Oryctolagus cuniculus: one gene and its partners. The protein of the gene in region 1 purifies or fractionates together with the protein of each later gene. This does not show direct contact. Links are inferred from orthologs where the notes say so. Each region holds a gene or a part of one and is shown in the gene's direction. Other genes may lie near its edges. The genes, in order: CDK8, MED8, MED1, MED31, MED20, MED7 and MED26.

The links.
Region 2: the proteins of CDK8 (region 1) and MED8 purify together in Homo sapiens (affinity purification with mass spectrometry; 7 studies listed by BioGRID and IntAct, counting the BioPlex papers as one, with this or other methods). This does not show direct contact. The link is inferred for Oryctolagus cuniculus from reciprocal best matches to the Homo sapiens genes CDK8 and MED8.
Region 3: the proteins of CDK8 (region 1) and MED1 purify together in Homo sapiens (affinity purification with mass spectrometry; 14 studies listed by BioGRID and IntAct, counting the BioPlex papers as one, with this or other methods). This does not show direct contact. The link is inferred for Oryctolagus cuniculus from reciprocal best matches to the Homo sapiens genes CDK8 and MED1.
Region 4: the proteins of CDK8 (region 1) and MED31 purify together in Homo sapiens (affinity purification with mass spectrometry; 7 studies listed by BioGRID and IntAct, with this or other methods). This does not show direct contact. The link is inferred for Oryctolagus cuniculus from reciprocal best matches to the Homo sapiens genes CDK8 and MED31.
Region 5: the proteins of CDK8 (region 1) and MED20 purify together in Homo sapiens (affinity purification with mass spectrometry; 8 studies listed by BioGRID and IntAct, counting the BioPlex papers as one, with this or other methods). This does not show direct contact. The link is inferred for Oryctolagus cuniculus from reciprocal best matches to the Homo sapiens genes CDK8 and MED20.
Region 6: the proteins of CDK8 (region 1) and MED7 purify together in Homo sapiens (affinity purification with mass spectrometry; 7 studies listed by BioGRID and IntAct, counting the BioPlex papers as one, with this or other methods). This does not show direct contact. The link is inferred for Oryctolagus cuniculus from reciprocal best matches to the Homo sapiens genes CDK8 and MED7.
Region 7: the proteins of CDK8 (region 1) and MED26 purify together in Homo sapiens (affinity purification with mass spectrometry; 5 studies listed by BioGRID and IntAct, with this or other methods). This does not show direct contact. The link is inferred for Oryctolagus cuniculus from reciprocal best matches to the Homo sapiens genes CDK8 and MED26.

What each region holds. Positions count from the first base shown.
Region 1 is NC_091440.1:96,555,484-96,559,687, forward strand, and holds the start of CDK8 (cyclin-dependent kinase 8), read left to right. Parts: upstream 1-1,404; coding exon 1,405-1,532; coding exon of another isoform or gene 1,533-1,746; intron 1,747-4,204. Other genes in the region: collagen alpha-1(I) chain-like, read right to left, coding at 220-467, 594-1,746.
Region 2 is NC_091438.1:129,634,518-129,638,748, forward strand, and holds the start of MED8 (mediator of RNA polymerase II transcription subunit 8), read left to right. Parts: upstream 1-1,431; 5' UTR 1,432-1,539; coding exon 1,540-1,545; intron 1,546-2,794; exon of another isoform or gene 2,795-2,813; coding exon 2,814-2,932; intron 2,933-4,231. Other genes in the region: KICSTOR complex protein SZT2, read right to left, coding at 1,320-1,346. UniProt on the Homo sapiens protein: Component of the Mediator complex, a coactivator involved in the regulated transcription of nearly all RNA polymerase II-dependent genes.
Region 3 is NC_091448.1:22,905,989-22,910,032, forward strand, and holds the start of MED1 (mediator of RNA polymerase II transcription subunit 1), read left to right. Parts: upstream 1-1,244; 5' UTR 1,245-1,466; coding exon 1,467-1,491; intron 1,492-4,044. UniProt on the Homo sapiens protein: Component of the Mediator complex, a coactivator involved in the regulated transcription of nearly all RNA polymerase II-dependent genes.
Region 4 is NC_091448.1:49,926,626-49,930,767, forward strand, and holds the start of MED31 (mediator of RNA polymerase II transcription subunit 31), read left to right. Parts: upstream 1-1,342; 5' UTR 1,343-1,571; coding exon 1,572-1,599; intron 1,600-2,600; coding exon 2,601-2,678; intron 2,679-2,893; coding exon 2,894-2,990; intron 2,991-4,142. UniProt on the Homo sapiens protein: Component of the Mediator complex, a coactivator involved in the regulated transcription of nearly all RNA polymerase II-dependent genes.
Region 5 is NC_091436.1:127,988,594-127,992,657, forward strand, and holds the start of MED20 (mediator of RNA polymerase II transcription subunit 20), read left to right. Parts: upstream 1-1,264; 5' UTR 1,265-1,404; coding exon 1,405-1,418; intron 1,419-3,803; coding exon 3,804-3,958; intron 3,959-4,064. Other genes in the region: BYSL (bystin), read right to left, coding at 615-882. UniProt on the Homo sapiens protein: Component of the Mediator complex, a coactivator involved in the regulated transcription of nearly all RNA polymerase II-dependent genes.
Region 6 is NC_091437.1:44,110,628-44,114,492, reverse strand, and holds the start of MED7 (mediator of RNA polymerase II transcription subunit 7), read left to right. Parts: upstream 1-1,163; coding exon 1,164-1,865; 3' UTR 1,866-1,870; intron 1,871-3,865. UniProt on the Homo sapiens protein: Component of the Mediator complex, a coactivator involved in the regulated transcription of nearly all RNA polymerase II-dependent genes.
Region 7 is NC_091447.1:64,938,934-64,942,947, reverse strand, and holds the start of MED26 (mediator of RNA polymerase II transcription subunit 26), read left to right. Parts: upstream 1-1,214; 5' UTR 1,215-3,904; coding exon 3,905-4,014. UniProt on the Homo sapiens protein: Component of the Mediator complex, a coactivator involved in the regulated transcription of nearly all RNA polymerase II-dependent genes.

The sequences.
Region 1 (4,204 bases):
CTACCTTAAAATGATCAGCAAACGAACGTCTGTGGATTTAGACCTAGTAATTATACCCCCAAACTGGTGCTTTAAGGGCAGCAGTACAAAAGGCCATACTCAAAATAGCGTCGCCTCTGAATGGACGGGAAGGACCGTGAGAGCCGTCCGGGACTAGGGCAACAGCGTCCAGGAGCAGTGTGGACGCTCGTTATTGGTTCGCTTTCCCATCAGCGCATTCTAGGTTTCCAGTGAATGCCGGTACGTTGATACCACTGCGCGGCCCCTTATCGGACTGGTACCGCCACGAGTGTCTCCAGTGGCTGCCAGGGCGCTGTTTACAAATAGCATTCGTCCGATAAAGATGATGTTCTTTAATCTCCGGAGTTCAGAAGAGACACAGAATATAAGTGTAATATTCTTTAGCTTCCCTCGTACGTGAGCCTCTTGAGTCCAGTTTTGGTTCAACTCGGACTCCAGTAATACCACTGTAAGAAAAAGAAAAAGAAAAAGAAAAAGAAGAAAACATTTTTTTTTTTTTTATCCCTTTAAGTGAATGAAACTAATCTCGTCTCGGACTACTAATCCCATCACGCAACACTCCATATTCCCACCGTGCGGGGTGGAGCCGTAAAGGGGCGGCACAGCGGCGGCCCAAGCATTCTGGGCGTTGTAGTCTGGGGCCGGGCCACCGCGGGCGCCCATCCACGTGGTACGTTTGGCGGCAGCTTTGGGCAGTGGCTCCCCGGCTCCCTTCCTCAGTGCCCTCGGGGTGCGGGCGCCAGCAGGTACTGCCAGCCGCCGCGGGAGCCGGCTGGAGTCGGGGCCCGAGGCTGCCCCAGGCTTCGCGACGCTTTTGCGACAGCCGCGGCCGTGTTCCGCGGGTGCCCTCCCTCCTCCTCTCTCTGAGGAGGTACCGGCTGTTGTGCGGCGCTGCCTTTCTGTTGGAGTGTATGGGAGAGTGAGTGAGTGAGTGAGTGTGAGCGTGTGTGTGTGAGAGAGAGAGGGTGAGGCGTGAGTGCGCGTGTGAGAGAAGCAGAGCCCACCGCGGCCGCCCCGCCGCTCCCACCGCAGCGGGAGCAGGACACGCGCGGCCGGAGAGAGCAGCGGAGCCGGCGCCCGCGGAGCCCGCGGGGACAAGGGCAGAGACACCCGCTCCCCACCCCCCGCCGTCGTCCCTCGGCTCTCCTTCGCCCGGGGGGAACCTCCCCACCCCGGCCGGCCTCTGCCCCGCTGCCCTCCTGGATGTCCCCGGCGCTCTCGCGCGGCCTCCTCCTGCTGCTGCCGCATCCGTCGCGCTGGTGCTGCGGCCGGCGGGCGTAGAGCGGGCGGGTTCCCGGGGGCTTGCGGCTGCCCGTGCTTCCCCGGTCCCCACCCCGGCCCCCGGCCCCCCGACCCAGCTCTCCGGCCTCGGAGGCTGTGACAATGGACTATGACTTTAAAGTGAAGCTGAGCAGCGAGCGGGAGCGGGTCGAGGACCTGTTTGAATACGAGGGCTGCAAAGTTGGCCGAGGCACTTATGGTCACGTCTACAAAGCCAAGAGGAAAGATGGGTGAGTGTGAGTGTGTGCGTGTGTGTGTGTGCGCGCGCGCGCGCGTGCCGGGCGGCGCTCCCGCAGGCCGAGGCAGGTAGCCCCGAGGGAGAGTCGGCCGCCGGGGTGCGGGGCGCTGACTCCCTCGACGCCCGCAGGTGTCCCCGCCAGCCGGTGTTGGGGAGGCAGTGGTGGACGAGGGCTGCGAGCCCACCGGAAAGCCTGCGTGCTGCATCTGCGTTGTGCTGGGGTGCTCGGTGGGGACAGGAGCCTCTGCCCAGTGGACTGGATACTTTCCGAGGGTTTCGGTCCTGGATTTTTTCCTCCCTCTTGTAAATGCGCTTGTAAAGCGCACTTGCAGTGCTTTCTTTTCCTCCGGTCGGTCGGTTGATGATGGTACTGTTCTGGGGCTTGGCTCAGCCGACTCTGGAATGACATCCGTGAGTCTGCAAGGGAAGCTGCGAGCCTTTCCCCCACCAGTTTGTGACCAATTTATGATCAAATTGGGGTTTTATTTGTGGGGAAGAAGGCAGCAAGTCAGTATGGTTCTGGAGCGTTCCTCGTGACCATCGGCCACACAGATGTAGCAGTTGCTATTTGGGTATCATTAGCTGTGAGTTTTTACCTAGAACAATGGGGGTTTGGTGCAGGGTGGGTAGTGGGGAAAAAGACAAGTGACAAATAGGGGCTGCCTTGTGCCGGCTGTTTCCCCAACATTTAGCACCTGACTGTGTGCTTTAAATAATCTCTGCTTTAAATATTCTTCCCTAGAAATAACTCAATTAAATCTCTGACTGGTAATGCTCCCAGTTTAGTTTCCTAATAGGCTAGTGAAGTGTTCCTTTTTCCTTTGTCAGTAGGTGAATGTGTTGTAATATTGACAAAAGAGAAGGCAGTTCTTAGTTGGGGAGGAAATATATTTTATTCACTACTTGTTTTCCTCTTGTGAAAATGGATGTTGTCTCTGTAGGAGATATTGGGAAACATTGTTGGGAAGGTAATGTCATAGCTTATTATATAATCTTTGGGTTTTATTGGAAACAAAATAGCTTTACTTGCATGGCTGCTGTTGGATGTTGAAAGTAATTTTATTTTTTCAAATTAGGTAGGAGGGGATGTTCAGATGTTCAGAAATACATTAGCACTAAAAAACGTGAAACCATTCATAAAGCTGAAGCAAGTTCTCTGGGAGAGTAGGGGGAGGCCGTATTTAGAAATACTTTAATATTCTGGATGTTGGAAAAGGAAATGTATATGTACTCATTCTATTTCTTCGGTTTATTGAATGAAGTGTCTTTTGAAAAAATATTAAAATGGAGCCCAGGAGAAAGATAGTAGTTCTAATTAAGTTGGAGCATGTATTTCAGTGCTTTGATGCAGTAGTAAAGTAGTACAGATGTCCACAAAAGGTAAGGATTTGAAAACTTGCTGCTCTGGGTCTACGTGCATTTAAAGGTACTTTTTAGCGTAATGGATAGTCTGGTGACATTTGAGAAATCAGTGTCTGGAGATACTGCTGACTCTGGTGTTGTCTAATTAGATTTCTCATTGAAGTTTTACTCTGTTATGACATATATTTTAGAAATTATCCTTATTAATTTACCATACATTTTTGAAAGGCCATCAACCATCTCCCCACCCCCCAATATTATGTAACTTTGGGCATATTCATACAATCTCCAATCCCAGAAGATTAGACATGGTAGTACATTTGGCCAATTTGTTGTCTGTTTTATAAAATTCTAGTGACTTTAAATTAGTTTTAATACCTTTGAGAAGCCAGCTCTATTTTCATAAATTCCCACTTTAAGCTAATAAAATATGCAAATTTGTTGTAATTCAGATTTTATTTAAAAACTAATATTGTGTGTTGGTAGGAAGTACTGTTATTTTGTTATTTTATATCTTAATGGTCATTTTATTTTAGCCTGTTAAGAATAATTTGAAAAGAATTTAAAAATAGTAAATTATTTTTTAAAAAGCTGGTGTATTGTGTAGAAACATTTATTAGTTATTTGTGATGGTTGAACCAGTAACATTGCATTTGGGAAAAGTTTTTATTTGTAATCCTTTGGGTTTGTTTTTCAGCATCCTTTAATGATTCTGTTTATATGATGAACTTTTTTTTAATGGATCAAATGTCAAGAGAGTTTTAAAATTGCTTAAAACAGGGGCCGGCGCCATGGCTGACTTGGTTAATCCTCTGCCTGCAGCGCCGGCATCCCATATGGGTGCTGGGTTCTAGTCCCGGTTGCTCCTCTTCCAGTCCAGCTCTCTGCTGTGGCCCGGGAAGACAGTGGAGGATGGCCCATGTGCTTGGGCCCTGCACCTGCATGGGAGACCAGGAGGAAGCACCTGCCTCCTGGCTTCAGATCGGCCTAGCTCCGGCCGTGGCAGCCATTTGGAGGGTGAACCAACAGAAGGAAGACCTTTCTCTGTCTCTCTCTTTCTCACTGTCTAACTCTGCCTGTCAAATAAAAAAAAATATATATAAAAAAATTGCTTAAAGCAGTTTGTTTTCCAGAGGGAATAGTTCTTGGTTTGGCTTCTTTTTATAACCTGACTCTGGTAAAATACCAGATTGTAGTTATGAGGTTCTTTTGATCTTATGTCAGTAAAATGTAATTTAATACATTTTAGTCCTGGTAAAATAAAGTTTCTGGCAGTTTAATCTTTTATAATAAGTTGATCAA
Region 2 (4,231 bases), on another chromosome or scaffold:
GACCACCTATTTTGGAATCCAGCTCTAATATTTAATACTGTGTAGCTTTGCTACTCATAACATCTCTGAGCCTCAGTCTCCTTAACTGAAAAGGGTGGAGAGGATGAGCTGCCATTGGTAAACCGCTTACAATGGCGGCCGGCATGCAGGTAAGGTATACTATTTGTATTTTTTTTTTTTTTTGACAGGCAGAATTAGACAGTGAGAGAGACACAGAGAAAGGTCTTCCTTCCGTTGGTTCACCCCCCAAATGCCTGCTACGGCCGGCGCTGCACCAATCGGAAGCCAGGAGCCAGGTGCTTTCTCCTGGTCTCCCAGGCGGGTGCAGGGCCCAAGCACTTGGGCCATCCTCCACTGCCTTCCCGAGCCACAGCAGAGAGCTGGACTGGAAGAGGAGCAACCGGGACAGAATCCAGCGCCCCAACTGGGACTAGAACCTGGAGTGCAAGCGCCGCAGGCGGAGGACTCGCCTAGTGAGCCGCGGCGCCGGCCTATTTGCATTCTTACACACATTCCTCACTGTTCCCATCTGTTGGTATGTTCTCCAACAGTGCTGGGCATCTCTACCCAAATCTGGGATTTTATGCTCAGATTTTCTAACTCCAAAAATCTGCTACTCTCAGGCGTATGTACAGCACTTGACCTATCTTACTTTTCAGTTTTCTTTTCTGAAAATGAGAATGGATATTGTGCAAACGTGAATGACACAATGTATGTAAAGTTGCTTGCATGGTCCTTGGCATCTGACAGAGAGAGCTTAAGCCTTTTCTGGCTTCACACACGTGATTCTCACAACAGACTAACAACAAAGAAACAGAATCCAGGAAGTTAAGACTTGCCCCAGGCTTCAGAGAGAGCTAAATAGCAGCGCTAAAATCCGAACTGGGTCTCACTCCGAGCCAAGCCCCCCCCCCCCCCCAATAAAACCAAAGCTGCTTTCCCCATCATGAGTGCTAAAACTAAATTAACTCGTGCTGTTTACTGCACGCCCGTGTCTGAAGACACGCACCGGCTGCTGCCGTCCAGCGCACTGAAACCGCGACAGGAACCAAATCACAGGGTTTATTAACACCACTGTCACTAGGTCAAGTCGGCGACGCGGAAGAGATTTCAGTAAGCACAACAGAGCGAGCGAAGCATTTCTCCTCCAGCCTCCGGAGGAAAGAACGGACTGCGGGGATGCGGGGCTGCAAGGGTCCCTGCCGACGCTACGCGGCCCGGCCGTCGGCCGGCCAGGAGGCCGAGGTCGCGCCTGCCCGCACCGCCCGCTCCTCCCGCTCGGGTCTCAGGGCCCAGCTCTGCGCCCGCCCGCCCCTCACCTCAGGCTCCGGGCGCTCCGAGGCCATCACACAGCCTTCCCGCGCCGGCCCGGGCCAGTGAGGCAGATCCACTGTGACCCCTGACCTGGCTACCTCAGTACCGGGCCGGAACCGGAAGTCGGTGGGCGGGCCAAGCCCCGATTTCCTTGATTGGTGGACAAAACCCTCAGAAACTGGGAAACCGGAAGAGGAAGTGGTTGCGGCTGCCACGGCTGCCGCAATGCAGGTGAGAAGCGGGGTGGGCCTAGTGGCAGCTAGCTGTCTTTGGGTAACGCAGCGAGAGTGGGCTGGCTGCGGAGAGTTAGGAGTTGGACCGAAGAGGAGAGGGCGGAGGCAAGAGGACGCGGGGCCAGGGCAGAGGGGAGACGAGGCCAAGTGGAGAAGCGGCGCGGATGCTACGTGGGGGCGGAGTCCGCTGACAGGGGAGAGACTAGCAAAGTCGGGAGGGCGGAGGCAGCCGCCGCTTGTTTGGGGCTGGGAAAGCATCAGGATGTAGTTTGCGAAAGCCGAGATACAATCCAAGGGAGACGGCCCGAGAGAGACATGAATTGGCTCAAGCCTCAGCCTAGGCTGTTGGATGCAGACGTAACGGCGAATCTGCAATCGGAGAGAAGCCCGAAGGGTGAAGGAATTGTGGGCCGAGCTGGCCAGAAGCTAAGTTGTTATCAACTGAAACCTTGGGTGAAACCCAAGATGATGCTCCTGTCAGGCGCAGTGTGGGGTTGGCATCATTTTTCCCAGTCTGTGCCTGAGAGTTATTAAGACGGAGGAAATGAAGTAAAACGGAAGATACCCCCCCACACCGTGGGAAGGGAATGCCTGCAGACCCCCACTACTTGACATTGCTTGTCATGTGAGCTGGGTGGGTGGTTTTGCTTTTCACTTGTCGCTTTGCTTCTTGGATGGGGCAGTGTTTCAGTAAGTCCTTCTGGGTCAGCTGAGCTTGTGAAAGAGGCACAGGAATATTGGCACAGAAATAAAGGAGAAAGTTGAAACATCACCCACTAAGCACGAATGAGGAGCGAGGGGCAGGGGCGTGCAGAACTAGGGTTCAGAGAAAGCTTCATGTCCAGGCAGATTTCGCAGGGGCTGTGCTGTTGACAAGAACAGGGCAGATTCTAGGACGAAGGAAGCTAGGGCACACGTGCCACAGAAATGTGCATAGGATGATGAATCCCAGGCATTATGTCTGGCAGGAGTTTCTCAACAAGGGAGAGTAGGGCACGTGCAATACAGAGGAAAAGCAGGCCTGGATTTGGAGGTGTGAGAGCGAGAATCAGTTGGTAGGAGGACTTAAGGTCAGGTGAAAGGTCTAAGGGTTGGTGCTGTCTGTAACCCAAATACCAAAGATAGAAAATAACCTGGCTGTCATTCCAGTGAGATCCGGTGTTAGCCAACTGCGGTTGGCATACTCTCTCCGACGCTTTTCAGCCTTCTTCTAAAGGTGTCATGCTCATATCTCTCTGGGTAACCAGCCCATCTCTGTTGGTGCAGAGGGAGGAGAAGCAGTTGGAGGCGTCATTAGATGCACTGCTGAGTCAAGTGGCTGATCTGAAGAACTCACTGGGAAGTTTCATTTACAAGCTGGAGAACGAGTATGACAGGCTAACCTGGTAAGGGTTGCCAGGGCAAACTGGGGAGGGCTCCTGACGAGTAGTTCATCTCTGATGATGTAACCATTTATCAGTTTGCAGATGTCGGGTAATTTGGAAAGAGCTTGGTTTCCCAACATTTAGTAAGTGAAGTTTGGCTGAGGGCCTCCGTGGCAAGGAAGTAGAGAGCGGCCCAGTTTCCCAAGCCACGTTCTTTCTTTCTTTCTTTTTTTTTTTTAATTTTATTTTTATTTATTTGAAAGGTAGAGATATAGACAGAGAGAGACAGAAAGGTCTTCCTTCCGTTGCTTCACTCCCCAAACAGCCACTACAGCCGGCGCTGCGCTGATCCGAAGCTAGGAGCCAGGTGCTTCTCCTGGTCTCCCTTGCGGGTGCAGGGGCCCAAGCACTTGGGCCATCCTCCACTGCCCTCCTGGGCCACAGCAGAGAGCTGGACCGGAAGAGGAGCAACCGGGACTAGAACCTGGTGCCCATATGGGATGCTGGCACCGCAGGTGGAGGATTAACCAAGTGAGCCAAGGCACCGGCCCAGCCACGTTCTTTCTAGCTTTTGATTCTTTTTTTTTTTTTTTTTTTGACAGGCAGAGTGGATAGTGAGAGAGAGAGACAGAGAGAAAGGTCTTCCTTTTGCCGTTGGTTCACCCTCCAGTGGCTGCCACGGCTGGTGCGCTGCGGCCGGCGCACCACGCTGATCCGATGGCAGGAGCCAGCTGCTTCTCCTGGTCTCCCATGGGGTGCAGGGCCCAAGCACTTGGGCCATCCTCCACTGCACTCCCTGGCCACAGCAGAGAGTTAGCCTGGAAGAGGGGCAACCGGGACAGAATCCGGTGCCCCGACCGGGATAGAACCCGGTGTGCCAGCACCGCTAGGTGGAGGATTAGCCTAGTGAGCCGTGGCGCTGGCCGCTTTTGATTCTTACCCTTTTCATCTCTGGTCAGGAGTTCTCTCTCAGTGGGTCTTCCCACTATATCTCAGTCCATGCTGGATCTCTTGCCACTAATGTGGCTGTCTTTTAGATCCAGCCTACTGCTGAAGTATGGCTCCTGTTTCCCGGCAGAAAGGAGGCTTTCACCCAGTTTCTGATTTTTTTTGTCATAGAATAGCCATGGTTCCTGTTTTCCAGTGTTTCTCACCCCATTCAAACAATGAACTGCCTTTTTCTGCCTCCGTCAGGAGCTGAAAGCGTGTCCCTCTTTCCTAACCCCGCATTCCTGTTCCAGGTCTGGGTCCTGCCGAGGCTCGTGATGGGGATGAGTCTTTTGGGGGTCAGTCTCAGTTTTCCTAATCTGAGGACTTGTC
Region 3 (4,044 bases), on another chromosome or scaffold:
TCAGTAACACGGGGCCATTTCTGCCCCTACGAAATTCACTATGTATAATATGACTCCAAAGAATGACGATAAGAGGAAAAAAACAATAAAAGTGTAATCCTATTTTCAAGGGAATGTTATAATTACCTTTGTGGCAGTAAAGAAACAAGTTGCCAGGTTATTTTTTTTTTTTTTTATCAAATTTATACTGCTGTGCCTACTCAGTTGAATTGCAGTTATTTGCTGAGATGGCTCTGGATATGTGAATGCTATTTTTTAAATGTGGAAAAAATCTGAGACTACAGTCAGTAGAAATTCATTGCTTAAGCAGAAGATGGCCCAAGTCCTTGGGCCCCTGCACCCGTGGAGGGGGGGGGAGGGCAGCAGGGGGACTTGGAAGAAGCTTCAGGTTCCTGCTTTGGATTGGCTAGGTCCAGCAGTTGTGGACATTTGGGGAGTGAACCAGCAGATGGGAGACCTCTCTCTCTGCTTCTGTAACTCTACCTTTCAAATAAATAAATCTTAAAAATAAAAAAGAAATTCATTGCTTAATATTCTTGCAGAAAACTAGGTAAGATCCTACTTTCCAGCCGCATTTTTGAAGGATGTATATGAGAAAATTCTTTTTAAAAGTAGCCTTTAAGCTCCAGTGGCCATGCACTTGCCAGCATTGCTATGGATTTCTCTTCATGAGGATTTATTGACACAAGAGAGAAGACTACACACTGTGATCTGCAGTGGAGATACAAGCTAAACTGCATGTTTCCACCAAGACACAGTGATAACATGCACTTGCTGCTGAGAACAAGTTTATTTTAATCCAAAGCACTTCAGATTTTCAAAACTGCTGCAACTGCTCAAGAAATATTCCTGAAACTTAAAAAATATTAGAAAATGGTAATTAAGTGTCCTAGGCAGCCTTCAAATGTCGTGTTACAAAGAGCCAGTGTTTTTATGACAGTTTTACTGCATCTAGCATATAAGGGAAACTCTACTGTATTTGATAAAACATTTCAGATACCAGTATTCTTTGAAAATCTAGCCTGTAAAAAAAAAGGGGTTCTGTGGGTTTAGTTTCCAAACTAACGGCTAAAATGAAAATGCAAGTTTTCGTACAACAACCGAACTCTACCTGCTCGCAAGTTCAGAACGAAGTACCCAAGAGCTAAGAGACAGCCGGATTTGGAAGAAATCTCGCGGAAGTACGTCATTCACCTCTCGCGAGACTTCAGTATCCCGTCGCTTCCTTTCTCGCGCAGGATCACGGTTTATCTCGCGAGCTTTAGGAAGTTCCGTTGGGGAAGATGGCGGCGGCCGCAGGCACCCTTCTCTTCTTGCCACCGGGGACTTCAGACTGAGCCTTCCCGGGAAGAGTAGGGACTGTTGGTGCCCTGCGTCCCGGGAGCCCGAACTAACGTGGCTCTCCCATTAGTGGAAGGAACGGGCTTCTCCTCTTGTGGCGGACCCAGGCCCTGCCCGTCGTCAGGATGAAGGCTCAGGGGGAAACCGAGGGTGAGTGACAGTGGGGGAAAGGAGGGGGCGGGACTCAACTGGGGGCAGCCAATCTGGGCGAGGAGGTGGGGGCCGATGCCCCGTGGGGGCCGCTTTCGCGGGGGCACTGAGTCCAGGATGCGGGATGTGTGTGTCTTAGATGCTCATCATGCCTTCCTTGATGGTGATAGAGCGCTGACTTAGGGTGGTGGGGGCTCCCAACTTGGGTGAAGATTTCCTTTTTATATAGAGACAGTACCTGGGGCTTCTGGGCACTTTTAGCCTAAAGTGGTGGAAGATCAGGCGAGTGAATATATTAGCTGTTTGCAACTCATTCCGGAAGAGACCATTGAATAATGGCCTAAAAACAGCCATACGGAACCGTGTATCTAAAAGTACTGGAGAGTATTTTGATGTGAATGATGTGATTTGGTCCTGAGGATACAAAATGCCTGCACTTCCTAAAAGTCACAGTGTTCCCATCGGTGGCCGGACTGATTTAGAACTGTTGAAAACGACTTTTTCTATGGAAATTTTTACTCCGATTCTCTGGAGTTCCACACTGCACTTTCAATCACAGCTTACTTTATTATCATTGTTCATCCTTCCAGTTTGTTCTGAGCTTTGTAGATCAGGGGGCTGCCCTATTCATTTTTTTTTTTTTTAAAGATGTATTTATTTGAAAGGCAGAGTTACAGAGAGAGAAAAATCTTCTACCTGCTGGTTCACTCCCCAAATGACCGCAATAGTTGGAGCTGGGCTAGGCCGAAGCCAGGAGCCTCCCCAGCGTCTCCCATATGCGTGCAGGGGGCCACTCTCTGAGGCCATCCTCCGCAGCTGTCCCAGGTGCACCATCAGGGAGCTGGATTGGAAGCGGAGCAGCTGGGCCTTGAACCTTTGCCCATATGAGTTGTCAGCATCCCAGGTGGTGACTTCACCCGCGATACTACAACACCGGCTCCCTTATTCATCTCTGTATAATCTCTGGCACATAGTAGTTGCTCAGAAAATGTTTGATTTGAGTTTCAGACTAAGGACGTTTTACAGAATGCTTCTCAAGAAAAAAAAGGGGTGTGATTTGAAGGAGAAGAAATGTGTGTCCCTTGGGTGTAAAGTGGAAACACCATCAGGCAGGAGTTTTGTATGGTTTGCTTACTACTGTGTCTGCAGCACATACAATTGTGCTTGAATGAATGGCTTGATAGTGGGAAATAGGAATGTGCCCAGAGCAATCAGCTGGCTGAAGCAGCCTACAAACCAGTTTTCCAGAAGATGAAGGCGTGAAGGAAGGAGTCTGAGTCTTGACTGAGATCATCTTGCTGCCTTAACTCTGACCTTCTATTTATTTTTCAGTGCCAGTGTCAACAGTCTGTTTTTTTTTTTTAATGTCTCCATATTGATTATGTACTTTTCCTTCTTTGCTATTCAGTAGTAATGTCTCTGCTTTTAAGAGCATTTCTTTTTGCACCAATGGTAATTCCCATGTTAACTTGATCACACTGCCTCACAGATGTCACCTCAGGCATATCTTGTTATTATTATTATTATTATTATTATTATTTTTAACAGGCAGAGTGGACAGAGAGAGAGAGGTCTTCCTTTTGCCGTTGGCTCACCCTGCAATGGCCGCCGCAGCTGGCACGCTGCGGCCGGCGCATTGCGCTGATCCGAAGCCAGGAGCCAGGTGCTTTACCTGGTCTCCCATGCGGGTGTAGGGCTCAAGGACTTGGGCCATCCTCCAATGCACTCCCGGGCCACAGCAGAGAGCTGGCCTGGAAGAGGGGCAACCGGGACAGAATCCGGCGCCCCAACCGGGACTAGAACCCGGTGTGCTGGCGCCGCAAGGCGGAGGATTAGCCTATTGAGCCATGGCGCCGGCCCTCCTCAGGCATATCTTGTGTTCCTTTCCAGTGGCCCCAGCACAGGTCTTCGCTCATACATGGCAGTTCAAGAACTAGGGGAGGCTCGAAGGGTTTAAGAGGTTCATTCATATTCTTAGTTCAGGAGCTGATCCTTTCTGCCTTTCTCTTAACCTCTGTTGGAAATTCATCTTTTGGTTATTGATTTCTTCCCTGTCCATATAATTTTAGCTATATGGAAAAATATGAAACATCAGATAGGCAATTAGGGTCTGTTTTCTTGATCATACTTATCAACCAATCTCTTAAAATTATGGCCAAAAATTAAGGAAGTATTTTCACATTGAAAATCAGCTAACCATTGTAAGACCATGTTCAAATGTATGCTCTCTATAAATATTATACAGAAATTTCAGGCATGTTATGAAAATGACTGTCACTAAGTTGTAGGCATGGTCGTGAATCATGATTAGACTCGGTTCCTTTTTGGGTTCCCATTAAAACCTTGAATGGAATGTCCTATGGTGTTCCTTTTATCAGACCCATAAGGTATGTGTCTTCTCACCTTTAAAAATATTTTCTTTATGTGGTTTGAAGAAATTATATCGAAAAGTAGTTTAGCCAATTCTTAGATTCGGCTGTGTGGGGGTTTCTTTTCCAAGAAAAACGAGGTCTTGATAAAGGAGTTTCTAATGATGTTTTCTGATTTATGTCG
Region 4 (4,142 bases), on another chromosome or scaffold:
GTCTAAGGACTGGGTTGCAGCAGTTTTATGGTAGCCTCTGGGGCTTTATGACTTCTCCTGGCCTGAGCCCCTATTCCAGGGGATGGCCCGGTTCACTGCCCTGCCTTTACATGTAGGAGCCCGAGTATGGACTGGAAATGGCAGATGTTCTGCTCCCAGTAGTAGACACAATTGGGCCATCGCTGGCCTGCTGGAAGACCCCTTTGTCCTGCTGGGTAAATCACTGACTGCAAGGCAGGGTCAAAAAGCAACAGACACCCCCCCCCCACACACACACACACACTGTCCAGGGGAGGGCACGGCCTCCCACCCTCCTCTGGAGCCTCTCCCAGGCCTCTCCTCTCCCAGCTGCAGCGCGTCTCCAACTGGGCACCACTGACACGTTAGGCCCCGTGATTCTGTGGTTTTGGTGCTGGGATCCCTGGCCTCTACCCACGACTTGCCAGCAGCACTCCTTGTACCTAACACAAACGTCTTTAAACATCGCCAAGTATCCCCTGGGGGACAAAATCCTCCCCCCCCCCTCCAGGATGAGAACAACTGTTCTGCAGCCCACACGGAAGGCAGAAGGTATTTTAAAAATGCGGTTGCATCATGTCAGTCCTGTGCCGAAAACTATGCAGCGTGTTCCTGTTAGACTAGAACCTGAGTTCCCGTGGTGACTCAAAGGCCCTCTAGAAACTGGTCCTGCCTGTTGCCGTCCCCTCTCTGCCTCTCACACACGAAGCTCCCAGCTCTCCCTTCTTCTCTCGGGGAACGTTGCAAGCTTGCTCCCACACACCCTTCGCACTTCTCTTCCTCCGGCCTAGGGTGCACTCCGCTGAGACCCCCGGGTGGGGGTGGGGCGCTCGGTGTCACCACACAGGTCTCAGCTCCACTGTGGCCTAACCAGCAAGGCCTTCCCCGTCCATCCCTCTATACCACCACTCTCCGCCTCTTTGCCCGTCAGCCCCGCGTGCGGGCTTTGTCACGCGTGGGGAGGCCCAGGGCGCGGCTCGCGCAGGAACCCAGGAACCGCGGCTGGGCTGTTTCTCACACCGACATGTGGGCTGCCTCCAGGAAGCCAAAGGCGACTGGGGGACCCGGCTGGACACAGTAGGCAGCCTCGCCTCCAGCCGCTTTGACGAGGCCCTGAGCACTCGGGAGGGCACGAGGGCGCCGCTTCCTGGAAGGCGAGGTGTCCACACTGGGGTGAGGACGGCTTTCCCCCAAGGGCCGAGGCCATTCTATAGGTGTTGAGGGGACCGCTCAGCACACCTCTACGCTACGTCACGAGGTGAGAAATGACGTCACAGTAGCGACCTGCCTCCTAGGCGGCAATGCCACTACACGCTGACGTGAAACACCTCCAAATACGGCGCTCCCCGGGCCGCAGCGCCCGGCTCAGGAGCCCGAGCGGGCGGAGCCAGCAGCGATGGGCGGAACCGCTGTCCTCCCAGCGCGGCTGGGCCCGCCCCCGTATCCCACAGTGCCCCGGGGCCGGAAGCGGGGTGCTGAGGCTTCCGGAACTTCCCCAGCCAGACTGGGCAGAGTCTCTGCCGAGCTGGTGAGAGTTCGCGTCGTTCCTTGTTATGGCCGCCGCCGTCGCCATGGAGACAGGTGAGTCGCGCTCTGAGCCGTGCGCTCCGCCCGGACCCCTTCTCCTGCCTGCCCGGGGCCTCCTTCAGGCCTAACGGAAGGGGCTTGGAGTGGGACCCGGGAGGCGAGAGGGCTCTTGGAGCATCTGGGAAGGTGCCGGCAGCTTTGCCTTTTTCAGAGTTTGGTGGCTTCGCACATGTTTTCTCCCCGCTTGCTGTTCACTCAGCGACCCCACCTTCGTCCCAGCGTGGGTGAGACTGAGGGACAGCACTGGAATCTTTTCTTTAAAAAAAAAACAAAAACTAGTATAAAGAGAACAGATTGCATAGGTACAGTTCCAGGAGACCCATACTTCCCTCTCTCCTCCTCCCCCCACTCGCGTTCCCTCCCCTACTTTTCATTTTTTTTGTTGCCAAGGCATAAATTTGATACAGTCTATAATAACGGCTTATTTCACCACGAACCGTAATATAGAGCCAGTCAAAAGTAGGAAGACCACCAGGAGCATAAACAGGGGCTGAAAGTGACAGTCGTGTCACCAGACAGCACTTGGGTCTGCTTCCGCGGGAGCTTGCATGAGTTTGGGGCGCCCTGGACCAACTTGCGTTATCCTGCCACTGATGCTGCCATTCGGGGTCTTCCGGCGCTCCGCAGTCTCCTAGCTCGCACTCGGAGCTCCTCACCGCCATCGACAGTAGCTACAGTGTATTAATAAAATACAGGGAGGTAGACTGTCACCCCATACCCGGTCACTCACTGCTGAGATGGCTCCAGTGACCCACCGAGGGAGGTCTCCTGCCGCATCTGTGTTCCCCTTGTCTCTGATGACTTCTCTTCAACGTTAGAGGGGTTTCTAGCTGCCTTAATCAGAGTTCTCCTTTTCTTAGGTTCCTAAGGAATTATGCCTCCCAGAAGTGTAGCTCAGCATTACGCAGGTTTCCTGGCTGCTGTTTCCTTTCGACCCATCGGTGTTGTATTTAGCGACCTTTGTCTTGGATGATTTTTGCTGTCTTCTCTCCTAGATGATGCTGGAAATCGACTTCGGTTTCAGTTAGAGTTGGAATTTGTACAGTGTTTAGCCAACCCAAATTACCTTAATTGTAAGTTGTTCACCTAATTAAATTGAATAGCTATTAATGATTTTTTGACAAGAGTTGCATTTCCTAATAGTATCTACTTTTATATATTCTCAATTGAATAGAATTGCACTTAAAGCAATTCTGTAGCTGTAACTGAGCAAACTAGGACTTGTGGGCTGGTGGTAGTCCAAGCATCCGTCTGACCTAGGTTTTGTTTTTTTTTTTATGCCTTTCAGTTCTTGCTCAAAGAGGTTACTTCAAAGACAAAGCGTTTGTTAATTATCTTAAGTACTTGCTGTACTGGAAAGAACCAGAATATGCCAAGTATCTAAAGTAAGTTTAATTTTTTGTAATCCTCGGTGTATGTATGTTTTACTAAAACCCAAAACGTGGATACGTAAATACTTCTTAGTTTCACACTGGTAAAAATGTATGTTGAATCTGCACGTTCTGCGCGTTCGGTTGTCACTGCCTACCTCTTAATTTGGATTCCTGCAGAAATCACTCACTGTTGGCTCTGTTTTCTGCTCTTTCCTCACTACCTCACCCAAAGCCAATAAAGCAACGCGATTTTCTACCCAGAAGCCGATGTGGTCCCTGGGAACTGTAGCTTAGAACATGCTGTCTGTTCCTTAGACCTGGGGGGCCCTCCCTTCCTGGCAGTGAAGTCTGCGGCCCGGCCGCATCTGGCCCAGTCTTCTTGACCTCCTCTCTACCAGTCTCCCCATTTCTCTGGGTTTCTGGTCTGAAGGACTCTGGTCCTCACATGCAGCAACATAGCCATTGACTGATAATAAAAGATCACACAGAAGTACCTGTGAGGAAGATGTGGAGGATGTCACTGTGTCTTCCAGCAGCGATCTTTGTGCCCAAATGCTTTGCATTCAATAACTAAAAAACACTGCACACTCACAACTGTTTCCGTACACATGCCGGTCCTTCAAAAAGTAAATGGAAAATGGATCCAAAAGACGAGTTTGTATTGGTGCAAAAAACTTTTGGAGTCCATGTGTAAGGGATTTCCAGAAGTTCTTGAAAAATTGTGTAATATGAAATAACCAAGTATAGACTACAAGCTTTTTATATCCAAATAAGCTTTTAATTCAGGTTTTTCCACAAACTTTTTGAACTACGTGTATGTGTGTTTGCCATTCAAGTTGTTCCAGAGACACTTTGACTTGAAGGCCAATTACATTTGCAAGGGGCATATTATGACCAGAAACCTATTCCCTTTCAATGCGGAAGGCTGCACTTACTACTTTGCTTAGTATTAGCCAGGTGGTTGGAAAGCAGTGGTGAAGCTTTTCAAATTTTTTGAAAAATTATTTTATTTGGAAGGCAGACAGAGGGAGAGAAAGAAGTCGCCCATCTGCTGGTTCACTCCCCAAATACCCACAGCAGCCATGGCTGCGCCAGGCCAGAAGCTGGGAATCAGGAACTCAGCTTGCATCTCTCATATGGTGGCAGGGACTCAAATACTTGAGC
Region 5 (4,064 bases), on another chromosome or scaffold:
ACAAATAAGATAAGCTCTGAGAAGTCGGTTAAACAACTCAGAGGTCAAGGCTTCTCCCCTATGAGAAAACAGTCAACATTTTTCAATCATCTCTCCCTCCACTTGGCCCCTAAACAATACTGCTTTTTCTGTTATGAACATTCGGTTTCAGGTCTCAGCTTCCAGGCTGGGCAACTCTGACCCCTACACGAATGCTATCGTTTCCAGAGAAACGAGACTTTCTTTCCCATGGAATTTACTGTTCTAATTGTCTCTCTCTTGGTTTAGACTGTAAGGTCCCGAGCTATATCTTGTTTATTTCTGCACGCAATCCATCAAAACTCCCAGCATCGTGCAAAGCCGGTAGCGAGCATCCCATATTTACAAAACCGTTGGACAAATGCTAGGAGAACTTGGTGGCCTGAGCCATCACTTCCTATTGGCCTAACTTGCGGGACGCGGCGAAAGGAGCACTAAAAACAGGGAGCGGGCCTGCAGGGTTCGGTCTTCCACCTGCCCTGCTCTCGGTAGAGAGCAACGTGCAACCCGGTTTTGAATCCAAGGTACTCCCCTGCCGGACACCTGTGGGCCGTCCACCCCCCAACCCAACTACTGCCTTCCCCGCGGACGCTCACCCAGCCGCGTGGCGCGCTCCCGAGGCTTGGCGGGCCCGTCCCCAGAGCCGTGCTCGGTTTCCAGCTCCTCCTGTTGCTGCCGTGCTTGCTGCAAAATCCGCCGGCTCAGCCGGGGCCCCACATACTCTTCCTCCTCTTCCCCGGTTCCGCGGCCCCGCCGCTTTTCCCGGGCACTTGACCGCACCGCGTTCCCAGCCAGGATCTGCTCGGCCAGGGGCGCGTGTTTTTCCTGAGCCCCAGCCCCACGGGCCGCTTTGAATTTCGGCATTTTTCTCGATAATGCGGCCCGGCAAACTCACACGTGGGTACGGCGACAGCCCAGGATGTGCGCTCGGCAATGAACGCCCAGGTCTGTGCCGAGAGGCCACGCGCTCACAGCGCCCCTACGCGTTCGGAGGCCAGAAAAGCAGCCAGCACCACTGCACTCCCGCAGGGAACTCCCGAGTCCTGGAGCCGGAGCCCGGAACAAATGCATTGCCTTTGACGTTGACGTCTCTAAATGGTGGCAGCCCGGGCCACGCTTTCCTAGCTTTCTGGATCTAGGACCAGGGTGGCCAACCAAACGGAAACTTCCGGAACTGCAAGCCAGGGGAGGGGCTGGGAATCGGGCCGATGACCTCACTGGAGGCGTCACCCAGAGTCGCTGCTGGTGCGTCTAACCGGCGCTCTGTTTTTACGTACTTCCGGAGCCCCTCCCGCGACCCGAGCCTGCGGTAGTTTTTAGTTCTTGTGGGCTTCGGGAGAGCGCTGTTTCGGCTGTGTGGTCGTGCCGCTTTCCAGGCCTGACGCTATGGGAGTGACCTGGTAGGATCACAAAGGGTTTTATGGGGCGGGACTTGGGTCGTGAAGGTCCCTTGAAACCTGGAGGGTCGGGGACTGAAGTCCGCCGTTCTCCGGGAGCTGAGCAAAATGCCCTCGGGCTGCGTGGATGTGGGCACTCTAAGGGCCGTGAGTCTCGGGCCCTAATGGGCCCCATTGCTCCTGGAAGGAAGCAAGGAAAAGGTTTTATCTCAGGAACCTTATGCATGGGTTGTGTACCCTCTTCTCTTTTTCTTGGTACGTCTTGCTACCCTTGAAATCCTAGTAGTGCAGAAAGTGGGACTTCGAGGTCGGAAACAGGGCTTTTCAGACTAGAACCCACCCGCAGGTAGGGTTAAAGCTGATAGGAGATAGGCAACGAGGCGGTGTTTGTGTGTTCGCCTCCCCCTACCTGTAGCCACCCAATAATCAGCCTGTATCTGGTTCTCATTCGGGTCTACAGGATCAAAATGGAAACTACTGGGAATTAGAAGATCAGGTTTCCAGACACTTTACTTCCTCATGACCTGCCTCCTACTACGTTTATACGGTTGATTCAGTTTCAGTGCACTTAAAAAAAAAAAAGATTTATTTATTTGAAAGGCAGAGTTAAAGAAAGGCAGGGGCAGAGAGAGAGCTTCCATCTGCTGGTTCTCTCCCCAAATGGCTGCAATAGCCGGAGCTGGGCCGATCAGGAGCCTGTAGCTTCTTCCAGGTCTCCCATGGGGGTGCAGGGGCCCAAGCACCTGGGCCATCTTCTACTGCTTTCCCAGGCCATGACAGAGAGCTGGATCGGAAGTGGAGCAGCCGGCTCTCAAATCGGCACCCACATGGGATGCCAGCTCTACAAGCAGCTGCTTTACCCTCCACGCCACAGCACTGGCCCCCAATGGACTTTTAAATCTCTGAACATGTTCTCAAACCCAGATGGAAGAGGATGGGGTGGAGGGGAAGGGTATGAACCCAGGGATCTTGGAGACCTTAGTTCCAAGGTGCTGGGTCTCTGCACCTTTTTTCTTCTTCTTCTTTTTTTTTTTTTTTTTAAGTCTTGGTTGTGAGCATCTCATCAGAGAGGCCTGGAGGCCAGGATATCTGAAGCCAGGAGTTATAGGCTTCTCTTTTTTTTCTCTTTTTTGAAAGATTTGAGAGGTAGAGTTACAGACAGTGAGAGGGAGAGACAGAAAGGTCTTCCATCTGCTCGTTCACTCCCCAGATGGCCCCAATGGCTGGAGCTGCGCCAATCCGAAGCGCTTGGGCCATCTTCTGTTGCTTTCCCAGGCCATAGCAGAGAGCTGGATTGGAAGAGGAGGAGCCAAGACTCGAACCGGCACCCATATGGGATACCGGCACCACAAATGGAGGATTAACCTACTGCACCACAGCACTGGCCCCCTAGGCTTCTCTTTTAAAAATAGTTGGGGGTAGAGGGAACACAATTTCTCCCAGTAGCCAGGGGTTTCTGGGGCTTGCACTCTTGTTTCCCCTACCACAACCCTCCCAAGCCCTGCAGAGTGAGGGTGCTGGTGCGGGATGGAGGTGGAAAAGTTGCAGCACAGGGGTTGGGACTGTGTGTAGCAGATTAAGTTACTGCCTGCAGTGCCGGCATCCCTTATGGGCACTGGTTCAAGTCCTGGCTGCTCCACTTCCAATCCAGCTCTCTGTAATGGCCTGGGAAAGCAGTAGAAGATGGCCCAAGACCTTGGGCCCCTGCACCCACGTGGGAGACCTGATGAAGTTCCTGGCTTTGTTGCCGGCCATTCCTGGGGGCGCCCTTATCAACTTTTCCAAAATCCTAGGACCTCTGTCCCTTGTAGCTTCAGGGATTCTCTGAAAGTACTTCAGAAAGTTCACAGAAAGTATGTATTATGAAAAACTATGCAATGTTTTGGCACCAAAATCTTTCTTTTTCTTTTTTGACAGCCAGAGTGGACAGTGAGAGAGAGAGACAGAGAGAGGGAAAGGTCTTCCTTTGCTGTTGGTTCACCCTCCAATGGCCGCCGCAGCCGGCAGCCGGCGCACCGCGCTGATCCGATGGCAGGAGCCAGGTGCTTCTCCTGGTCTCCCATGCGGGTGCAGGGCCCAAGCACTTGGGCCATCCTCCACTGCACTCCCTGGCCACAGCAGAGAGCTGGCCTGGAAGAGGGGCAACCGGGACAGAATCCAGCTCCCCGACTGGGACTAGAACCCAGTGTGCCGGTGCCACTAGGTGGAGGATTAGCCTAGTGAGCCGCGGCGCTGGCTGGCTGGCGGCTTCTATTTCCGCATCTTTACAACGTGAGGGAGGGGTGGGGTCGTAGCTTCTGGCTTGGCTGAGCCACAGTTCTGTGGATAGAATGGCTAAGTGAGTATGTGTGTGTCTGGGTACTGACACTGTGGTTCTCTCCTTCCCAGTGTGTCCCAGATGCCTGTGGCCGAGGGCAAGAGTGTCCAGCAGACCGTGGAGCTCCTCACCCGAAAATTGGAGATGCTTGGGGCAGAGAAGCAAGGAACGTTTTGTGTGGATTGTGAGACTTATCACACGGCTGCCTCTACCCTTGGAAGCCAAGGTCAGTGAGATGGGTATGTAGGACGGCTGGAATGTGCCTTGGAATTCACGGGCATTAATGAGAGTTCCTTATGCTTTTGTGTATTCCAGAACACATGGCAAGATGT
Region 6 (3,865 bases), on another chromosome or scaffold:
GTGGAGAGGATGTGAGACAGTGATGCCTCTTAGGGAGTTGACCCTGGAAAGATGCCAGCTGAAGTCGAGGGGTGCGCATCCGCAGAGGCACACGGGTACTTGCCGCCTCCTGACGTCGGAGGGGTGTGTCTTAAAACTGTTCAGATCGGTTTAAAAGAGCACTTGAGAATCTTCAGATTGGATGATAATACCTATGTTTAAAAAGGAGTAAGTAGAAGTGATTGTGGCCATAGAAGCTGTGGGTTTGAATTTGGGTTTCAAGTTTCTATAGTAGATACAGAAAGGTTAGTAAATTGTAGCATAAAATGTAGAAAAAAGATACAGACTTGGATAATCATTTCATCTAGGAGCCTTGGATGATACTGGGTATCTAGATTTTAGTAATGTTAATTTTGTCAAAATGTTTGAGTTATAAGTATTTACTTTGGGAAATCACTTCGTAATAGTAAAAGTGATTGTAGGGGCTGGCATTGTGGCGCAGCAGGTTAAATGGCTCCCTGCAACACCAGTATCCCATATGGGCACTGGTTTAAGTCCTGGTTGTTCCAATTTTATCTGGCTTCCTCTCATATGCCTGAGAAGGCAGTGGAAGATGGCCCAAGTGCCTGGACCCATATCACTCACAAAGGAGATCCGGATGAAGTTCCTGGATTCTACATGGCCCCGGCCCAGCCCCAGTCCTTAGCAGCTATTTGGGGAATGAAAAGGCAGATGGAAGATATCTCTGTTTCTCCTTCTCTCTCTGTAACTCTGCCTTTCAAATCAATAAAGTAAATCTTAAAATCATCTACCTTCTAAAAAAAAAAGTGATTGTGATATGTGTTTGGGCGACAGCATGTGTAGTTTTGCTATAAAGAGATGTGGAGAAATGGGACATAAAAGGTAAGTGGTGTAGAATCCAGAAGACTTTTCTTTATAAATGAAAAGGTACTCCAAGATATTGGGAGAGAAGTATTAACAGGGAAGGAAAAATAATGTGGGTTGTTGAGAATATAGTGCTTAATTAGAAAAGGGTGGCATCCATTCTGAGTTGTAAGTGTTAGCTTTGAAACTACCGGAAGAAAAGGGGAGTGCTCTGTCTGTAAACACTAAATGTGACAGGTTTGTTTTGTAGTTCTTCTGTGAATCTTTGGTTTGTTTTTGTAGGTGCTTGATCTTCCACAATGGGTGAGCCACAGCAAGTGAGTGCACTTCCTCCACCTCCTATGCAGTACATCAAGGAATACACTGATGAAAATATTCAGGAAGGTCTAGCTCCCAAGCCACCCCCTCCAATCAAAGACAGTTATATGATGTTTGGCAACCAGTTCCAATGTGATGATCTTATTATCCGCCCTTTGGAAAGTCAGGGCATCGAAAGGCTTCATCCTATGCAATTTGATCACAAGAAAGAACTGAGGAAACTCAATATGTCTATCCTTATTAATTTCTTGGACCTTTTAGATATCTTGATAAGGAGCCCTGGGAGTATAAAACGAGAAGAGAAGCTGGAAGATCTTAAGCTGCTTTTTGTCCATGTGCATCATCTCATAAATGAATACAGACCCCACCAAGCAAGAGAGACCTTGAGAGTTATGATGGAAGTCCAGAAACGACAGAGGCTTGAAACAGCCGAGAGGTTTCAGAAGCATCTGGAGCGAGTGATTGAGATGATTCAGAATTGCTTGGCCTCTTTGCCTGATGATTTACCCCACTCAGAAGCAGGAATAAAAGTAAAAACTGAACCAATGGATGCTGATGATAGCAACAATTGTACTGGACAGAGTGAGCAGCAAAGAGAAAATTCAGGTCATCGAAGGGACCAGATTATAGAAAAAGATGCTGCCTTGTGTGTCCTAATTGATGAAATGAATGAAAGACCGTGACTCATGTTAGTTTTCTTTTTTCCCTTTTGGTAAATAGTATAATATTACTGGTTTATTTTCTTTTGGGCAGTCTTAAAATGAATAACTAAAAGTTTAAATGGCCTTTTTCTTGACTCTCCAGCTTTTTCACTTACGTAATGCCATAGGCAGCAATTTCAGTATATAACAAGTGTAGGCAAACAGGGACCCGTAAATTAAGAATAGTGACCTGAAAAAGAAAATGTTTGCTGCAGATGTGTGGGGCATTCTTTTTTTTGGAGTTGGAGTAAAAGTTTGACAGTGTCCTTGGTAATAGCAAACTTTCATCCTTAAAAAGTAAATTTGTCATTTGCTTTAAGAATGAGGGATAGATACTCTAAAATGTGAAATTATGTAATATTTAAAAATTTACCTAATCTGCATAAGGTAGTATAGCATTTTAAAAGAGACCCATTTGTTATGAAACAAAAACTTTATTTTTCCTTGTGATTCTTGTAACTCTACTACCTCAGTAGACTCTTTTTCCTTATCTTGAACCTTGGTAGGTCCCATAAATTGGTTTTTCTCAGTCACTTGGGTAGAAAGTCTTTGGTCAGCTTAGTTAGAAATTTTAGATTACAGATTTTAGTAATTAAGAGGATTGAAATTACAGATTTTTAAAAATATTTGTAATTCTTTGAAATTACACATTTTTAAAGCTAAGCTCAGACATGATCAAGGCTGGTAGACTGCAGTGGGAGAAGGGTTTGGTGGGAGCAACTGCTCGATGTCCACCAGTGATTCGCGCTTCTTCTTGCTGAGATATCACTGTTCAGCCAGTGACCACATTTCCCTACTGCCCTATATCTGTGTGAGGCCATGTGACTAAGTTCTGGGAAATGGAGTCTGTGCCCTAAGATTTCTTGCACGATCTTCCATTCTGTTCCCCAGTCGGCTAGGTGTGTGCCCACACCCATGCAAGCCTGGTGACAACAGTTTATAGTAATTTGGTTCTAGAATGTGAAGATTAGGTCCTCTTTTAACTCCATTCTTCCTTCTACAGCTAACTTAATGTGAACAAGAAATAAACTGTCTTGGGTACTGAGATTTTATTTCTGTACTTTCTTTTCTCCTCCCTCCTTCCCCCTCCCGCCCATTGGCCTCATATCAGGATCTTTGCCTGCTACTCTCTGACAGAAGCCAGTGGTTCTCCATTGTCCTTTTGGACCAGCAGCATTAGCATCACTTGGGGATTTGTTAGAAATCAAGCTCCTCTGGCTCCACCCTGGACCTTCTGAACCAGAAACTTGCTGGTGCACAGGGCGTGGCAAGCTTGGTGTTAAGCCTTCCTCCAATTCTGATGCATGCTCAAGATTACCATCTGTAGAGATGGGCCTTTTCCTGGGTGATGTGCTTTTGATTTCTCCCTCATTTCCTGTTTACTAGCATAGGGATTTGCTGCATTAAGGTCTCACCAACTCACTGTAAAATGGTTACAGGCCAATTTCCCTGTGTGAAATATGCATTCTTTGCATTCAGACAGAGGCTGTTTCCAATTAACACTTCTAGCAGACAAGAACTAATTAACAAGTCTCAAATTTAAGGTTTTTTTTTTTTTTTTTTTTTTTTTACCAACTGGAATATGCTTGGTGTAGACCTTGGGACCAGAGACCCCCAAAGGACATTCTGGTTTCCCTTAATTAAATTAAATTTGTTCCACACCTCCTCCCTCATACCTTGGTCAGTGAGCAAGATGGAAATGGCTCTTGAACAACTCAACAACCGTTTCTCTTTTGACTTTTTAAAAAATACATTGCTGTGAGAGGAGTGTTGGGCTGAGGTACAAAACCAATTTGGGACCACTTTGAAAATCCTTGCATGTAAGAAATGAAATCATTTAACATTGTTAAGAGTCACAACAGTTACTTGTAAATTTGTGTGTGTGTGTGTGTGTGTGTGTGCGCATTGAGGGGAGAGGTATTGATGGATTGCAATGCCATAGGTTAGCTTCACTTTAGCCCAGAGCTAATCAAGGAGTTCTG
Region 7 (4,014 bases), on another chromosome or scaffold:
AGCCGGCTCAGCGCTGTGTGCGGGTCCCCTCTCGCGGGCCCCAGGTCCTGTGCAATCTCCTGTAGCTGGCATTCTTATTAGCGGTTTCTGGGAGAGGGGGAGTTGCCGCCGGCCCAGTGTCCTCACAGAGGGCAGAGGTGAAGGCCTCGGTGTGGCTGCCTCGCTCGCTTGCTCGCGCTCCAGTTGTGTCCACGTCGGAAAGGAAGCAGCTTGCAGGTGACATTCTGAGACCTGCTCTGCCCCCAGAGGGCCGAGATCAGGATTCTGAGTCCAGGGGCTGTGTGAGCCAGTGGGCCTTGGGCCGGGAGGAGCTGTGCAGACGTGAAGTGGGCGGGAAGCGAGGAGGGTCGGGGCGGGCGGTGGCTGCGGAGCGCAGAGCCGCCGCCCTCTGCTGAGCGGAGCTCCCACCTGAGGCCTGCCGTAGCTCTCCTCCCAGGGCCACCGTGCGTTTGCACGCCTGGGAACCTCCACCGCTGCCGCAGCAGCTTCCCATTTCTGGGCGACTCGTGGGGAGCAGCCAGGCCTCCGCCCGCTGCCCGCACCCAGGCTGGTGCTTCTGTCCCCGACCAAGGTTCCAAGTGCGATTTTGTGCTCGGCCCGTTGCTGCCCGTGGCAGGAGCTCAGTGCACAGGGTCGTCACCCCAGGGACGCCGACAGGCCGCCCAGAGGGCTGATACTCCGGGGGCAGCAGGCCGGCCCGCCAGTGAGGAAGTGCTTTTGCAGGTGGTCACTTGGTGGCTGTGACTGGGATATCCCCCCCCCCCCCCCCAGCCGGGCTGTTCTTCCTCTGGGAAGCCGTAATGAGGGACTCTGCCCCTGTGGGTTTGAGGCTCCCGGGGCGGCGGGGGGGGGGGGGGGGGCTGTGGAGGAGGCGGGAGCGGGCAGCGCTGGGCTGTGTGGGGGCCGCAGGGGCCGCCCCTCCTTGCAGTGACTTGCAGCAGAGGGAGCTGCCTGGGGACTCGTGGGGTTTGTCAGAAGCAGGAAGACTTGGGCTGAAGAGCACGGCTGGACCAGAGCACACACGCGTGCACCAGCGGGGCCCGCTTCCTTCCCGTGTCCGCGCACACACGGCGCATGCCCAGCCCTGTGCAGGCGGCCTCCTGCCCAGCACCACGCAGGCTGTGCTTGGGCGTGGAATGGGAGCGACGGCTTGCTCCCTGATGAGCACTTCCAGAGCTTTGCGAGTAAGTGGTTTTGTAAATTCTGTCTAGACCAGTTCTGCCTTTAAAACTAATAATAAACCAGCAGCAGTGTCCACACTGTTAGATTCGGGGGAACCCGTTTGCGCAGGTGCTTTGGGGCCGCAGCCCCGGGAGGGGGGTACTGCCCACTGCCTGGGGCGTTGGAAGGGTGGCCAGACGGGGAGTCATCGGGCCAGCACGGCGCGGAGCAGGCTCCAGGGCTGTGGATGGGCCCTTGGCTCAGCGTTGAGTGTGGGCTGGAGACCCCGTGCGGCCTGGGGAGAGCACAGAAGCAGCACCAGGGCCATCTGGAGGTGGCCCTGTGGTTTCGAGGAACGTTCTGGAAACTGTGCATTTCCTGCTGGGGAGGGTCAGAGTCTGATGCCACTGTCCCTTCAGGCTGGCGGGCGGGGCCTGTGCAGCCTTCTAGCTGGGTGGTCTTTCTCCTTGGGCCATCTGTTTCTTTACCTGGAAATGGGGGCGTGGGGGTGAGCACTGAGAGATGTGGGCTCCTGTGCAGCCCGCCGGGCCGGGGCAGGCTCAGGGCTCAGGCCTGAGGGAGCGTGGCACACCGCCAGCTGCAGGCCGGAGAGGGCCCTCCCCGAGGTGGAGACGGGGCTGGGAGCGGAGGGACCTCTCCGACTGCACGGCCGCGTGTCTCAGTTCCTCGTTTCTGCTCAGGGCTGGAAATCCCCCGCGGGCAGCGTTGCTCGGGCGCTGCAGGCGCAGCCCCGCTTCCCCAGGTGCGGCTTTGCCGAGGCCGCCTGGGCTGCAGGTGCCCTCACAGCCCCGCGGCAGTGCGACTCGGACGGCGGTCTGGGCTCCTGGGGGCGTGAGGGTGGCCACAAGGCAGAGCGGCCACGGCCTGTGACCCAGCTGTGGACTCTGCACCATGTGCCTGGCTCCCGGCTGCTCCCGCACGGGTGCGGCGGTGTCCTCTCCACCTATGGAGACGGGCAAGGGCTTTTGCCCATGTCCTCACCCTCGTGTGACAGACCTGGAACACCCCTCCTGCCTGCTGGCTGGTCTCGGCTGCCCGTGCACCTGCCCTCTCTGTGGCCGTAGCCATCCTGGGCTCCCGCTAAGGGAGAAGCTTGAGTCAGGCCGCGGGCCGAGCGCTCAGCCCTGCCTTCTGGCTCAGGCACGCAGGCCGTTTCTGTGCTGGGACTGGCGGGCGGCAGACCCGCAGCCTGCGGGAGGCCCGGCGAGGAGCTCCGGGGGGCTCAGCAGATGGAGGGGCCGTGTCCTTTGGAGCAGAGGTTAGGCCAGCACGGCCCCCTCCCCGCACTGGTGGCAGATGGTGGAGCCACACGCCGCGGAGGGGCTGCCATCGGGTCTGTGCTCCCTCACCTGAGTGCCTGCCAGTCGTCTGGAGCCGAGACCTTCCGTCCGGTGTTAACAGATCAGGTGTGATTTGTCGTGTATATACATTTGTTATCTTCGGCAAATTTCAGACATCAAAGCAGAGAGGAGTCTGCTCCGCGTCCTGTTGGGTGGACAGCACGTGGAGCCAGTCCGCTCTGCTGCCGTCCCATCCCCGGGAGAGGGGCAGCGCTCCTGGGCCCCGGGCTCCCTGTGGGCGCTCCCCTGTGTGGGTCCGGCCCCGCTTCCTTCGCGTGTCGGCTGTGAGACGTGCTGGCCACACCTGTGCAGGAAGCCTCAGGTCTCCTGGGGCGTCCGCGCCTGCGCTTGGGTCTCGGTGGCGCGGGCACGGGAGAGCCTCGAGCGCCCGGCATGCATGCCGCACGTCCGGCTGGCCACCCTCACCTAGATAGCAGGTCACCTCTCCCTGCTAGTTCCGCCCGCCTTGACCCTCCAGCCCAAGACCAGGCGTCCCCACTCGTGTCTGTGAGACCCCAGAGACACGGGCTGGCCGGTGTGTCCTTTCCTGTCGGCCCCGAGTGCTCTCCAGGCCAGGATCCCGTGTGACAGTCCACAGCACCCCTGGGACTGCTGCCCGAGAGCCCTCGGGGTGGGCACCTCAGGGCCCCCTCCCACTCCAGGCCAACATGGTGGTGGTGGTGATCGGGACGGCCCCTTGGTGGAACTGGGCCGGCACCGGCTTCTCTGCTTCGAGGAAAGCAGTGATGTGCATCTGCTCGGGGAGCCCTGACAAACCTAAGAGGCCGCAGTCCCTGCCAACTCCTCCCTTCTCCGAAAGCCACTTGGCAGAGGGTGGGGAGGTGTTTGGCCTGGGAATGAATCCCCAGGAAGAAGCTGCGGGCCCCCAGCGCCCTGTGTGCCGTGGGCGGTGTCGGCAGAGCCGCCTTAGGCTGCCTCGGGGGCAGCGCCTGTGCTGGCATTCGGATCAGGCACATTTCTCCACGGCTCCGGGAGCGACCGAGACCTGGGGCGCGGCAGCAGCGAAGGCTGGTGGGAGACAGAGTGTGTGGGAGCCAGCCCGCGCCCCCCGTGTCTGTCCCCTCTCGGCCTTGCCCTGGTGGTCCGTCCTGGCCGCCAGAGCCCCTGTCAGCCACAGGCTCCCTTCACTGACGGTGGGAGGCCACTGGAGGGGTATGGTGTGGTAGGCGAGGCAGGTTTCCCGTGGCCAGCTCGCCTCTTGCTCCTCAGGGCCCCGCACGGCTGGGTGCTCGGTGTCCCCTGGGACAGAGTGGCCGTGTTGGGCTCTGCAGGGCTGTTGGATCAGGGACCTTCCATGTCCTGCCCGCCTTCGTGGGGGGCCGGCACTGCATTGCTGGGGGTGGGGGCCTGACTGCTCTGGAATGTTCCGCTGGTGTTCAGGGGCACGCACCCCTCTCTACCTGACCTGGCTTTGTAGGTGGAACCCCAGGAGCCTGGCCTCCTCCCCAGCGGGTAGAGAGATCTGCAGAGG